3 linked regions of the Oryctolagus cuniculus genome follow. The protein of the gene in region 1 interacts with the protein of each later gene in a biochemical or structural test. Links are inferred from orthologs where the notes say so. Each region holds a gene or a part of one and is shown in the gene's direction. Other genes may lie near its edges.

What was found.
Region 2: the proteins of NUP214 (region 1) and NXF1 form a complex in vitro, tested with the Homo sapiens proteins (4 studies listed by BioGRID and IntAct). The link is inferred for Oryctolagus cuniculus from reciprocal best matches to the Homo sapiens genes NUP214 and NXF1.
Region 3: the proteins of NUP214 (region 1) and ATP-dependent RNA helicase DDX19B are reported together in a solved structure, tested with the Homo sapiens proteins (2 studies listed by IntAct, with this or other methods). The link is inferred for Oryctolagus cuniculus from reciprocal best matches to the Homo sapiens genes NUP214 and DDX19B.

The regions. Positions count from the first base shown.
Region 1 is NC_091432.1:233,660,828-233,665,056, forward strand, and holds the start of NUP214 (nuclear pore complex protein Nup214), read left to right. Parts: upstream 1-1,415; 5' UTR 1,416-1,503; coding exon 1,504-1,548; intron 1,549-4,229. UniProt on the Homo sapiens protein: Part of the nuclear pore complex. Has a critical role in nucleocytoplasmic transport.
Region 2 is NC_091432.1:8,792,412-8,795,926, forward strand, and holds part of NXF1 (nuclear RNA export factor 1), read left to right. Parts: intron 1-1,469; coding exon 1,470-1,553; intron 1,554-1,666; coding exon 1,667-1,771; intron 1,772-1,862; coding exon 1,863-1,943; intron 1,944-2,056; coding exon 2,057-2,126; intron 2,127-2,265; coding exon 2,266-2,354; intron 2,355-2,474; coding exon 2,475-2,582; intron 2,583-2,746; coding exon 2,747-2,856; intron 2,857-3,515.
Region 3 is NC_091449.1:56,898,326-56,901,840, reverse strand, and holds part of ATP-dependent RNA helicase DDX19B, read left to right. Parts: intron 1-403; exon of another isoform or gene 404-477; intron 478-983; coding exon 984-1,032; intron 1,033-2,959; coding exon 2,960-3,013; intron 3,014-3,515. UniProt on the Homo sapiens protein: ATP-dependent RNA helicase involved in mRNA export from the nucleus.

The DNA.
Region 1 (4,229 bases):
TGCGCGTGAGTGCCGACGGCGTGCCCGTGTGCCAGGCGGAGCTCCCGTTACACCTCACAGGCCCCCCCCCCCCCAAAGAGAAGCAGGCTGGGAGCAGACGAGCAATTTACTGGACACCAAGTGGCCGGACAGGCCCTGCCTGGGTCCCACCTACGGACAATTCCACAACAAATGGTTCCGGGGACGACTGGGCTGCGTTGCCAGCGCATCCAGACACAACCCGAATTCTTTTTTTCTTTTTTAAATATTTACTTATTTATCTGAGTTACACAGAGAGAGGAGAGGCAGAGAGAGAGGTCTTCTATCCGATGGTTCACTCCCCAATTGTCCACAACGGCTTGAGCTACGCCGATCAGAAGCCAGGAGCCTCCTCTGGTCCTCCCCGTGGGTTCAGGGGCACAAGCACTTTGTCTTCCACTGCTCTTCCAAGCACATTAACAGGAAGCTGGATCGGAAGTGGAACAGCCGGGACTCGAACCAGCGCCGCAGGCGGTGGCTTTACCGGCTATGCCGCAGCCCAGGCCCCAACAACCCGAATTCTCATCCTGCCTCCGCCACTCTGTGATGACACTGGTAACTCTGTGCTTCTCTCTCGTCATCCATCAAGTGACGACAATACCCCTGGGGGACTGGCGGCCAGGGCGGGTTAAGGCCAGCATCCCGCACCCAGGGTCCGGCTCGGAGTCCCGGACGCAGCTCCCCGCTAATGCGCCCGGCCAGCGGCGGAAGGTGGCCCGAACGCTTGGGCCCCCGCACCCACGAGCGGGACGCGGATGGAGTCAGGTTCCTGCTCCCGGCCTTGGCCAGGGGTTGTGGCCACCTGGAGCGTGACCCAGCCGAGGGGAGATGTCTCGCGCTGCTACTCTGCGTCTCAGCTAATTTATTTAAAAGGGGAGCGCACCCAGCGTTTTGCGCAAAGGCGGCGCACATTCCTTAGTGACCCAAAGTGGCGAAGAGAACGGCTCCGGCTCTAGCACCCGTTACCCTTGGGTGACCTCTAACCTCCCTCTCCGCCCTAGGGTCTCGAGGGGCAGGGCCGCCCCACACCCACTTTCTGCGCCTACTGCCCCGCCCCCTTGAAAACGCAAGGAAGCTACTACTAGCCACCCACATGTAAAAGTTCCTCCGAGACCTCACGGGAACAAAAGCGCATGGCGCTCAGACGCCCCGCTAACCAGACGCTACCACCAAGAAGCCCGCGCAAACCGCGAACGCCGGGCGCACCCAGAGCGCAGGCGCGCGGATCCTCATGCCCCACCCCCTTTTGAGTCGACCAATGAGGGGCGGCGTCCGGGCGAGCGCGCGACTTCAGGCGATCCCGCGGCCTTCCTCGACCGCATCGCGAACCGGGACGTGAGACGGCAGCAAAGCGCGCCGGAAGTGCGTCATCTGCTGCGCGCCGCTGGCGCGGAGGGAAGGAAATTGGCTTCGGAGCCGCCTGGGCTCTGTGGGGAAGGCCGCGGGCGGCAGCTGCAGCTTTGTAGACAAGCTGAGGGCGTCACGATGGGAGACGAGATGGATGCCATGATTCCCGAGCGGGAGATGAAGGTCAGAAACTGGCCGGGGCCGCCCTCCTTGCCTTAGTCCCGGCGTTGCCTCCGCGGCCCTAGCCCAGAACGGCGAGGCTCGGATGCCGGCTACCCCGCCTCCTGCGTGAGCAGCTGACCGCGTTCCGAGTTCTCGGCGCGCCCACGAGCGCTCTGCTGTGCGGTCGGCCTGATGGCCCCTCCGGGCGCGGTTCCGCCGTGCCGTGTCGGTCTTGTGCAGCTGCTTCTGTGGCGGTGACTTTATTGAGCGCTTGCTGTGTGCCGGGCACCGTGGTAATCTCCAGTAGTTAGGGTACAGGAGCAGGTCGAGGCTGGGGGAGTGATGTTCCCGAAGGCCCAGGGTAGCGCGGGGTCAGGTGGCCAGGGCCTGCCTGCCGTAGAGCCGGGGGACATCGTCCTAGGGAGTGCGCTCGGAGGACTGAAACCAGCCTGAAGTCTGGGCACTGAGGGGCGGGCCGAGTGGTCCGAGCGATGGGAGCCCCCCAGGAACAGCTCTCAGCGTGGCGCACCCCGCAGTTTCCACGTGCGTCCTGACAGAACGAGGATACAGAGCGCGAGCTACGGGTATTTCAGACAGCCGAGGGGGAGCAAGTAGCAGGAAGCTTTTAGCCCTGTGAACAGCAAGTCCCTGGAATGCACTTAGGGGAGAGAGAGTCTTCCATCCGCCGGTTCACTCCCCACATGGCCGCAGTGGCCGGAGCTGCGCCGATCCGGAGCCAGGAGCTTCCTCCAGGTCTCCCACGTGGGTGCAGGGGCCCAAGGACGTGGGCATCCTCCACTGCTTTCCCAGGCCACAGCAGAGAGCTGGGTGGGAAGTGGAGCAGCGGGGACTTGAACCGGCGCCCGTACGGGATGCCGGCGCTGCAGGCGGCTGCTTTACCCCAGGTTTGGCCCCGACTGTTTTCTTATTTCGCTCACACTAATGAACATCGTAGCACCACAGCTGGGACGGTTCTGCATCTCGGGGTTCTGTTTGTTTTTGCTGCACTGAAATTGAGCCTGCTGCAGTACAATGATGGATATGATTTCGTTTTCCCTGAGTTGGTTCTCGTTTTGAACTCTCCTGTGCTCCTGATCCTGACCCACTACGCACATGTCACCGAGACCCAAAGAGGTACTGGAGATGATCCAGTTGAGAATTACTGGGCCGGCGCTGCGGCACAGCGGGTGAAGCAGCCGCCTGCAGTGCCGGCATCCCACATGGGCGCTGGTTCAAGTCCCGGCTGCTCCAGCTCCCATCCAGCTCCCTGTTAATGTGCTTGGAAAGTCTCGGAGGGTGGCCCAAGGCCTTGGGCCCCTCCCTCCCCTGTGGGAGATCTGGAAGAAGCTCCTGGCTCCTGGCTTCAGCCTGGCCCAGCCTTGACTGTTGCGGCCATCTGGAGAGTGAACCAGTGGATGGAAGACCTCTCTCTGTCTCTCAGTGTCTATCCTGTCTAACTGCCTTTTGAATAAATGAAAGAAAAAAAAAAACAAAGATAAGAATTACAAAAAAGACTGAAAAACTTACTCTCCTGTATGAAACCATAATACAGGCTTACCTGGAAAACTGAATTTTTGCTACTGTAAATCAGTTGGGATTAAAAGTATGAGGGTCTCCAGAAATTTCATGAAAAACAGTTATGAAAAAACTGCATGGATTTTGAAATTTCTTTTGGACTAAAATCTTTTAGTTCTTTTTTCCATGAACTTTGTGAAGTCCTCATATTTGCCTTCTAGCAAATATGTATAAACATCAAACTTAGTCTGTGGGCTGTGTTAAGAATCCTGTATGAAACAACACTAGGAATCTAGTGTGGGGCTGGCGCTGTGGCACAGCAGTAAAGCCACTGCATGTGAAGCCAGCATCCCATATGGGCGCCAGTTCATGTCCCGGCTGCTCCATTTCCTATCCAGCTCCCTGCTATGGCCTGGGAAAAACAGGAAGATGGCCCAAGTCCTTGGGCCCCTGCACCCACCTGGGAGACTGGAAGAAGCTCCTGGCTCCTGGCTTAGGCCTGGCCCAGCCCTGGCTGTTGTAGCCGTCTGGGGAGTGAACCAGCAGATGGAAGACCTCGCTTTTTCTGTCACGCCTTCTCTCTAACTCTGACTTTAAAACAAACAAATAAACAAATCTTAAAAAAAAGAATCTAATGTAGAAGAACGAAGCCCAGGAAAACTCTTTGGCTTTCATATTTTTGGGAACACCAGCGCAGAGTGGATTCGCATTTTTTTTTCCCCCGTTTTGTGTGTTTAATGACACCTGGCCGTGCGCTTCTGCAGTGGGGACAGCTGCTCCCCTGCCGCTTCTTGGTCTCAGATTCTCCTCATACTTGCTGAGCTGGCGGTGCACGGCGCGTGTCCAGGGGTCGCAGGTCCAGGGGCTCCTACTTGCCCTTGTGGAATTTCCTGAGGTTCTTCTGGGTGTGGTTCATGACGGTGAGAACACGGGGATGGCTTTGGAGAGCTTGGACGCCGCGCACCTGTCACTTTGGTGACCTGCGGGTCCTCCGCTGTTTCAGCAGTGTCGCCTTCTTGCCTCGAAGGTCCCGAGCCTTGATCTCGGCCGTGACTGCACAAGCCCCACCCCTGCCGCTGCTCTCAGGGAAAGAGGAAGAGAAGGGCTGACCTCCGCAACTGCTTCCGGGTGGCCCTCATTCTTTTCTCTAAACTCTGACCTGAAGATAGGTTTAGAGTTGAAGAAAA
Region 2 (3,515 bases), about 220 Mb from region 1:
CTTGGGCCCTGCACCCCATGGGAGACCAGGAAAAGCACCTGGCTCCTGGCTCCTGCCATCGGATCAGCACGGTGCGCCGGCCGCGGCGGCCATTGGAGGGTGAACCAACGGCAAAGGAAGACCTTTCTCTCTGTCTCTCTCTCTCTCACTGTCCACTCTGCCTGTCAAAAAAAAAAAAAATCTTAAAACTTAGATCAAGCAACTTATTGTTTTGAAGAATAAGAAGTGTGTAAGTAGACAGAAAAGAGGTTAAGGAATCCATATGTCTCAAGTGAAAACCCTATGATTGGTTCTTTTCTTTAGAAAAACTTTTTTTTTTAAAGATTTATTTTTTTTTTAAGATTTATTTTAGTTATTTGAAAGACAGAGTTACAGAGAGAGGTAGAGACAGAGAGGTTCTTCTGTCTGCTGGTTCACTCCCCAGATGGCCGCAATAGCCGGAGCTATGCCATTCGGAAGCCAGGAGCTTCTTCCTGGTCTCCCACATGGGTTCAGGGGCTCAAGCACTTTGGCCGTCTTCCACTGCTTTCCCAGGCCATAGCAGAGAGCTGGATCGGAAGTGGGAGCAGCCGGGACTAGAACTAGTGCCCCTATGGGATGCCGGCGCCTCAGGCCAGGGCTTTAACTAAACGCTGTGCCACAGTGCCGGCGCCCCCACCTTTTTTTTTTTTTTTTTTTTTTTTTTTTTTTTTTTTTTGGACAGGCAGAGTGGACAGTGAGAGAGAGAGACAGAGAGAAAGGTCTTCCTTTGCCGTTGGTTCACCCTCCAATGGCCGCCGCGGCCGGCGCGCTGCGGCCGGCGCACCGCGCTGATCCGATGGCAGGAGCCAGGAGCCAGGTGCTTTTCCTGGTCTCCCATGGGGTGCAGGGCCCAAGCACCTGGGCCATCCTCCGCTGCACTCCCTGGCCACAGCAGAGGGCTGGCCTGGAAGAGGGGCAACCGGGACAGAATCCGGCACCCCGACCGGGACTAGAACCCGGTGTGCCGGCGCCGCTAGGCGGAGGATTAGCCTAGTGAGCCGCAGCGCCGGCCTTTTTTTTTTTTTTTTTTTTTTTTTTAATTCAAAGGCAGATTTACAGAGAAGCAGAGAAAGAGAGAGAGGTCTTCCATCCACTGGTTCACTCTCCAAATGGCCGCAATGGCTGGAGTTGTGCCTATCTAAAGCTAGGAGCCAGGAGCTTCTTCCGGGTCTCCCATGTGGTTGTAGGGGCCCAAGGACTTGGGCCATCTTCTACTGCTTTCCCAGGTCATAGCAGAGAGCCGAATTGGAAGTGGAGCAGCCAGGACTTGAACCGGCACCCTTATGGGATGCTGGCACTGCAGGCTGTGGCTTTACCCACTACACCGTGCCAGCCCCTAAAAAAACTTTTAAGGTTTGGCAGAAAGTACATAAGGAATGCCATATGGGGTGTGCTGTTCAGTCTTAGTTGTATAGAATTTCCATCTTTTCTCCTTTTCTCATTTCTAGATTCCTCATGGCAGAAAGTATGACAAGTCATGGCTCCTGAACATGATTCAGAGCAAGTGCAGTGTCCCATTCACTCCCATTGAGGTAAAGCAGGGCTTGAGTGGCCAACTAGCTGGGCACCACGGAGGGCAGAGGGGTCATCTGGACAAGGGGTTCTGGTCTTTGAGATTAAGTAATGCTCTTGTCTCTTCTTACAGTTTCACTATGAGAACACACGGGCTCAGTTTTTTGTCGAGGATGCCAGTACTGCCTCTGCGTTGAAGGCGATCAACTATAAAATTCTGGATAGGGAGAACAAGAGGGTATGTTAAAGAGCTTGGTTGGACTGGAGGTGGGGATTGGTCCTTGGGCTGTTTTCCCTGGCGTTTACTCTGCCCTTTGTCCTCCCTCCAGATATCCATCTTCATCAACTCCTCTACCCCACCCCTCACTGTGCAGAGTGAACTGAAGCCAGAACAAGTAGAGCAGCTGAAGGTAGGGCTGGCTCAGGTTACGTGTGCTTGCAGCCCAGTCTTCCCACTTCGCATGCCCCAGCCCCATACCCACCGTCCCTGTGATGGCCGAACTCTTCCCTGGTTCCTCTGTAGGTGATCATGAGCAAACGCTATGACGGCTCTCAGCAAGCACTGGATCTCAAGGGCCTGCGTTCAGACCCAGGTACGGCTGGCAGCAGTAACTCAGACAGGTCACGTAAGGGGGCTCTGTCAGGGAGGGAATGTTGAAGAATGATTAGTGCTGCCGCTGGCCTGGGCAAGTCCTCTCAGATTTTTCTTGCTTTCTTTTCTGCTTCCTGAAGATTTGTTGGCCCAGAATATCGATGTTGTACTGAATCGTAGAAGCTGTATGGCAGCTGCCTTGCGAATCATTGAAGAGAATATTCCAGAGGTGAGGCCTTTGGACCAGTATCAGGCGTGGGAAGCAGCGAGGGATCGATGGCATGGGGTCAGCGACAGACTTGCCTCTGATCTACTCACTAGCAGCACTAAACTCTTTTCTCCCTTATAGCTCTTGTCCTTGAATTTGAGTGACAATAGGCTGTTCAGACTGGATGACATGTCCACCTTGGTACAGAAGGCACCCAACCTAAAGATCCTAAACCTCTCCGGGAATGAAGTAAGAATTGACGGGCTGGCTGTGCTTTTGATGGGGTGGCCAGAGGACATAGTGGGCTTGCCCGGTGATGGCGACAGGCAAGAGATGAGAGTCGGGATGGGAGGTGTGAAGTCCAACTGATGTCTCACCAGGTTCTCTCCTCCCTCTTTTCCCATCTTTTGCAGTTGAAGTCTGAGCGAGAATTAGACAAGATAAAAGGGCTGAAGCTAGAAGAGCTGTGGCTTGATGGAAATCCCTTGTGTGACACCTTCCGAGACCAGTCCACCTACATCAGGTCAGTTGTGGCCTCTGTCTTCCCTCCTGGGGACCTTCACCCCCTGGGAGGCTGAGCTAATGCACCCTGACCAGTGCCCGTCTGCAGGAGATGTGCAGCCCTGAGCTGGAACCACCTGTCCTTTGGGAGGATCACGTGCTCCTCTCTCGTCTGTCCATGTCTCCCAGCCTTGCCCTGAGATCCCCTGTCCTTTGCTTTTCACCTGACCGCCTGTTTGCTGGTTCTTTGGCCTTTCTCCTTCCTCCCTGAACGCAGCCTTTTCTGGAACTTGCCCACCCTATTGTTCCAGGAAGGACATTTCCCCTTTGTGCTCTGACTAGGAGATGTCTCTTATGTGCCCCATAAATGGGGTTGCCTTGGGCCTAGAGCCTGGTGTCCTTGGGCTGAGAAAGCCCTCCCCACTTGGAACTTCCTGCTAAGACAACTTTCTCTTCCTTTGTCCTGTGATGGCCCCTCTTGCCTTTGTGCCAAGAGGGACCCTTTCTCATAATCCAGTTGCCTAAGGCTGTTGCCTGGGCTTTCCGGCACATGCTGAGGTTGAGGCCTCATGGGGGCTGGTGCCCTGCAATCTCTCTGCCTGGTGCTGTGAGCTGGGCCCTCCCTGGAGAAGAAACCTGGGTTCCCCAAGACATGTGACCAGAGCTGTGGTCTCGCCAGCA
Region 3 (3,515 bases), on another chromosome or scaffold:
CAGCTCTCTGCTGTGGCCCGGGAGTGCGGTGGAGGATGGCCCAAGTGCTTGGGCCCTGCACCCCATGGGAGACCAGGAAAAGCTTGGCTCCTGCCTTTGGATCAGCATGGTGTGCCGGCCGCGGCGGCCATTGGAGGGTGAACCAACGGCAAAGGGAGACCTTTCTCTCTGTCTCTCTCTCTCTCACTGTCAAAAAAAAAAAAGCAGAGCAGCTGGGATGCAGTTATCTGTTTAAGCTTCATGTACTATGTCTCAATGCCTGCCCCAGGATAGTTGCATTCTTACAGGGGAGAGAGGAGTCCTGCCAGGAGATCCCTAATTCCCATTGTTTGATCTAAGTCCTAAGAATCCTTTCTTTGAAATGCCTCTCTGATCTATCTCTTCCTTTCTATCCCGACTTCAGCCTGGTGAGTATTGTGATTACACAGTGATCCTCGGGGCTGTTTCCAGTTAAGAGTATGAGACACGAAGCATAAGGTGACTTAGATGTTGGCTGTGTGTCAGCATGCTGTGTGCCGTGGCTTCAACAAGTCCTGCACTGTACTGCTTCCCTCCTGCGGGTGCTGTCAGTGCAGTGCTCCCTCCTTGGCTGTGTCTGCAGTGTGACTGCATTCTTTGGGATATCTTCAGTGTCCTCTTGTTTGGACTGTGAGGGAGTGACAACTCTAACAATGATATTCCCCTGAGAGTCTTTGTAATCAGGAGTTAAGCAAACTCATCAATTATAATTCTCTCTAGGGGTTATAATTAGGAAGAATGGATTTTAAGCGGCTCAGTAATCATTTTTTCTTACTACATTTATGGGCATTTTTGTTTATTTTCATTCAGTCATTTGGCAAACAAAAGGAACCCAGAATAGCAACCTAAGAATCAGTCTTGAGAGAGGGGCTGTTTTCTCCCTGTTTCTTGGGAAGCCTCTGTTGACTTTAACATCTTGTAAGTGACTCTCCTGACACTTTCCTCCCTCCATATTCTCCATTTAGTTGAGCAACTTGCATCTTAAGGACGAGAAAATCAAACCGGATGCCAATGGTGAGTAAAAGCTAGTTTGAAAACAAATGCTATTTCCTTGAGTATTTCTGTTTGGGCATAACAACTGCCTAGAAAAAAAAAAAAAACTGTATTTGTACCAGAGGACTGGCAGATACTGGCAGTCTTTCCATTTGGGAATTAACAAACTAGATTGTAATCACAAAGTGCTTATTATAAGAATGAGCCTACCTAATTGGTTTATAAACTATTAAATTTATTCCAGACTTTGGCACTATATTGCCAACTATTATTTGTTACTTTTTAAAATGTTCATCAGTTTGGAATGATTATGAGTAACCTGAGAGTTTACCTATTCTAATTATCTAAAATCATATCAAAATCTATCAAAATATATCAAAAGTCTAGGCTCAACACCAAATTTTTGTTGATGTATTTAATATTACAGGGGAGAAATCTGGCATTTACCCTACTCTGAATTCACATAATACTTTTCCATCACTATAACTTGTTTTTAAGTTTCTACTAATTAGCAGTTTATACACCTAGAATTTTAATGGCATTGTGTGATTTGCATAGATACTCCACTGTTGAGCATCAAGGTGGTTTCTTTTTTTTTTTTTTTTTTTTTTTTTTTTTGACAGGCAGAGTGGACAGTGAGAGAGAGAGACAGAGAGAAAGGTCTTCCTTTGCCGTTGGTTCACCCTCCAATGGCCGCCGCTGCAGCCGGCGCACCGTGCTGATCCGATGGCAGGAGCCAGGATCCAGGTGCTTTTCCTGGTCTCCCATGGGGTGCAGGGCCCAAGCACCTGGGCCATCCTCCACTGCACTCCCTGGCCATAGCAGAGAGCTGGCCTGGAAGAGGGGCAACCGGGACAGAATCCGGCGCCCCGACCGGGACTAGAACCCGGTGTGCCGGCGCCGCAAGGTGGAGGATTAGCCTATTGAGCCACGGCGCCGGCTGTTTCTGATCATTGACTTAATAATCATCTTTCTGTAATACTTTGGAGATATTGATACTATGAGAGAACTAAATGTTAGATTTTGAAGTAACGTGGGAGGACCTGGAATAGAAAATAATTGAGGCCGGCGCCGCAGCTCACTAGGCTAATCCTCCACCTTGTGGTGCCGGCACACCGGGTTCTAGTCCCGGTCGGGGCGCTGGATTCTGTCCCGGTTGCCCCTCTTCCAGGCCAGCTCTCTGCTGTGGCCAGGGAGTGCAGTGGAGGATGGCCCAAGTCCTTGGGCCCTGCACCCCATGGGAGACCAGGATAAGTACCTGGCTCCTGCCATCGGATCGGTGCGGTGCGCTGGTTGCAGCCCGCCGGCCATGGCAGCCATTGGAGGGTGAACCAATGGCAAAGGAAGACCTTTCTCTCTGTCTCTCTCTCTCACTGTCCAATCTGCCTGTCAAAAAAAAAAAAAAAAAAAAAAAAAAAAAAAAGAAAAAATAATTGAAATTGAAGCAACAGTGTTTCATACCTTAGCTGATTTAGAAACTTTGAAATTTTTTTAATCAGTGTCTGGGTTTCCTAACTAATTTTTTTTCTCCAGGGCTTTACATTTATAGTGTAATAGATTTTTTTAAAGATGTATTTATTTATTTGAAAGGCAGAGATACAGAGAGAGTAGGGGAGAGAGTTGGAGAGAAGGAGAGAACCATCCACTGGTTCACTCCCCACTGGGTTAGGCCAAAGCCAGGAGCGTCTTCTGTGTCTCCTACACAGGTGCAGGGACCTAAATGCTTGGGCCAGCTTCTGCTGCTTTCCCAGGCCTGTTATCAAGGAGCTGGAAGCAGGACAAGTGGGACTCGAACTGGTACCCAAATGAGATGCCGGCACTGCAGGCAGAGGCTTAGCCTATTAACGCCACGGCACTGGCCCCGGCCCCTAGTGTCAGAATTTGAATTGCCACAGCTGTTGATTATGGGATATGGTTTTGATTGATGGTCATTTTGTGTCTCATAAAGGTGCTGTTGTCAAGACCAATGCTAATACAGAGAACACAGATGAAGAAGAAAAAGGTAACACAGTCATAGAGCTTATAAATGAAGTTCTAAGAAAATGGATTGTTAGGGAGGCTTCATTTTTATATCCAACTTGACTTCAGCAGGAGTTACAGTGCTGCTATAAAGGTTCAACAGTCAATTAGTGAAGAAATTCTAATAATTTACATTTTAGACAAATTTTTACATTGAACATTGATGAACTTCAGGCAGTAAATTCCCTGAATGATTTTCTCATATGGAGTGTTTTAAAAGGAATTTTAGGTTGTATCCTCATTGTCTAGTGAAGTTAAACACAGTGGCATCTTGACACATTTAATGTGAATGACAAACTGTGAAAAACTTATACCATATCAAGATACAGACTGTTATTTCCAGTTTTCATTGTTGGCATGCACTTGTTAACAATAAATTTATACTGCATGCAAACTAGGGGAATAAATATTTGGGACTAGAGGAACAGACACCCTCAGGAAAGGAGGGTTGTTAAAATATTCACAGGGTCCTGTGTCGTGTGATG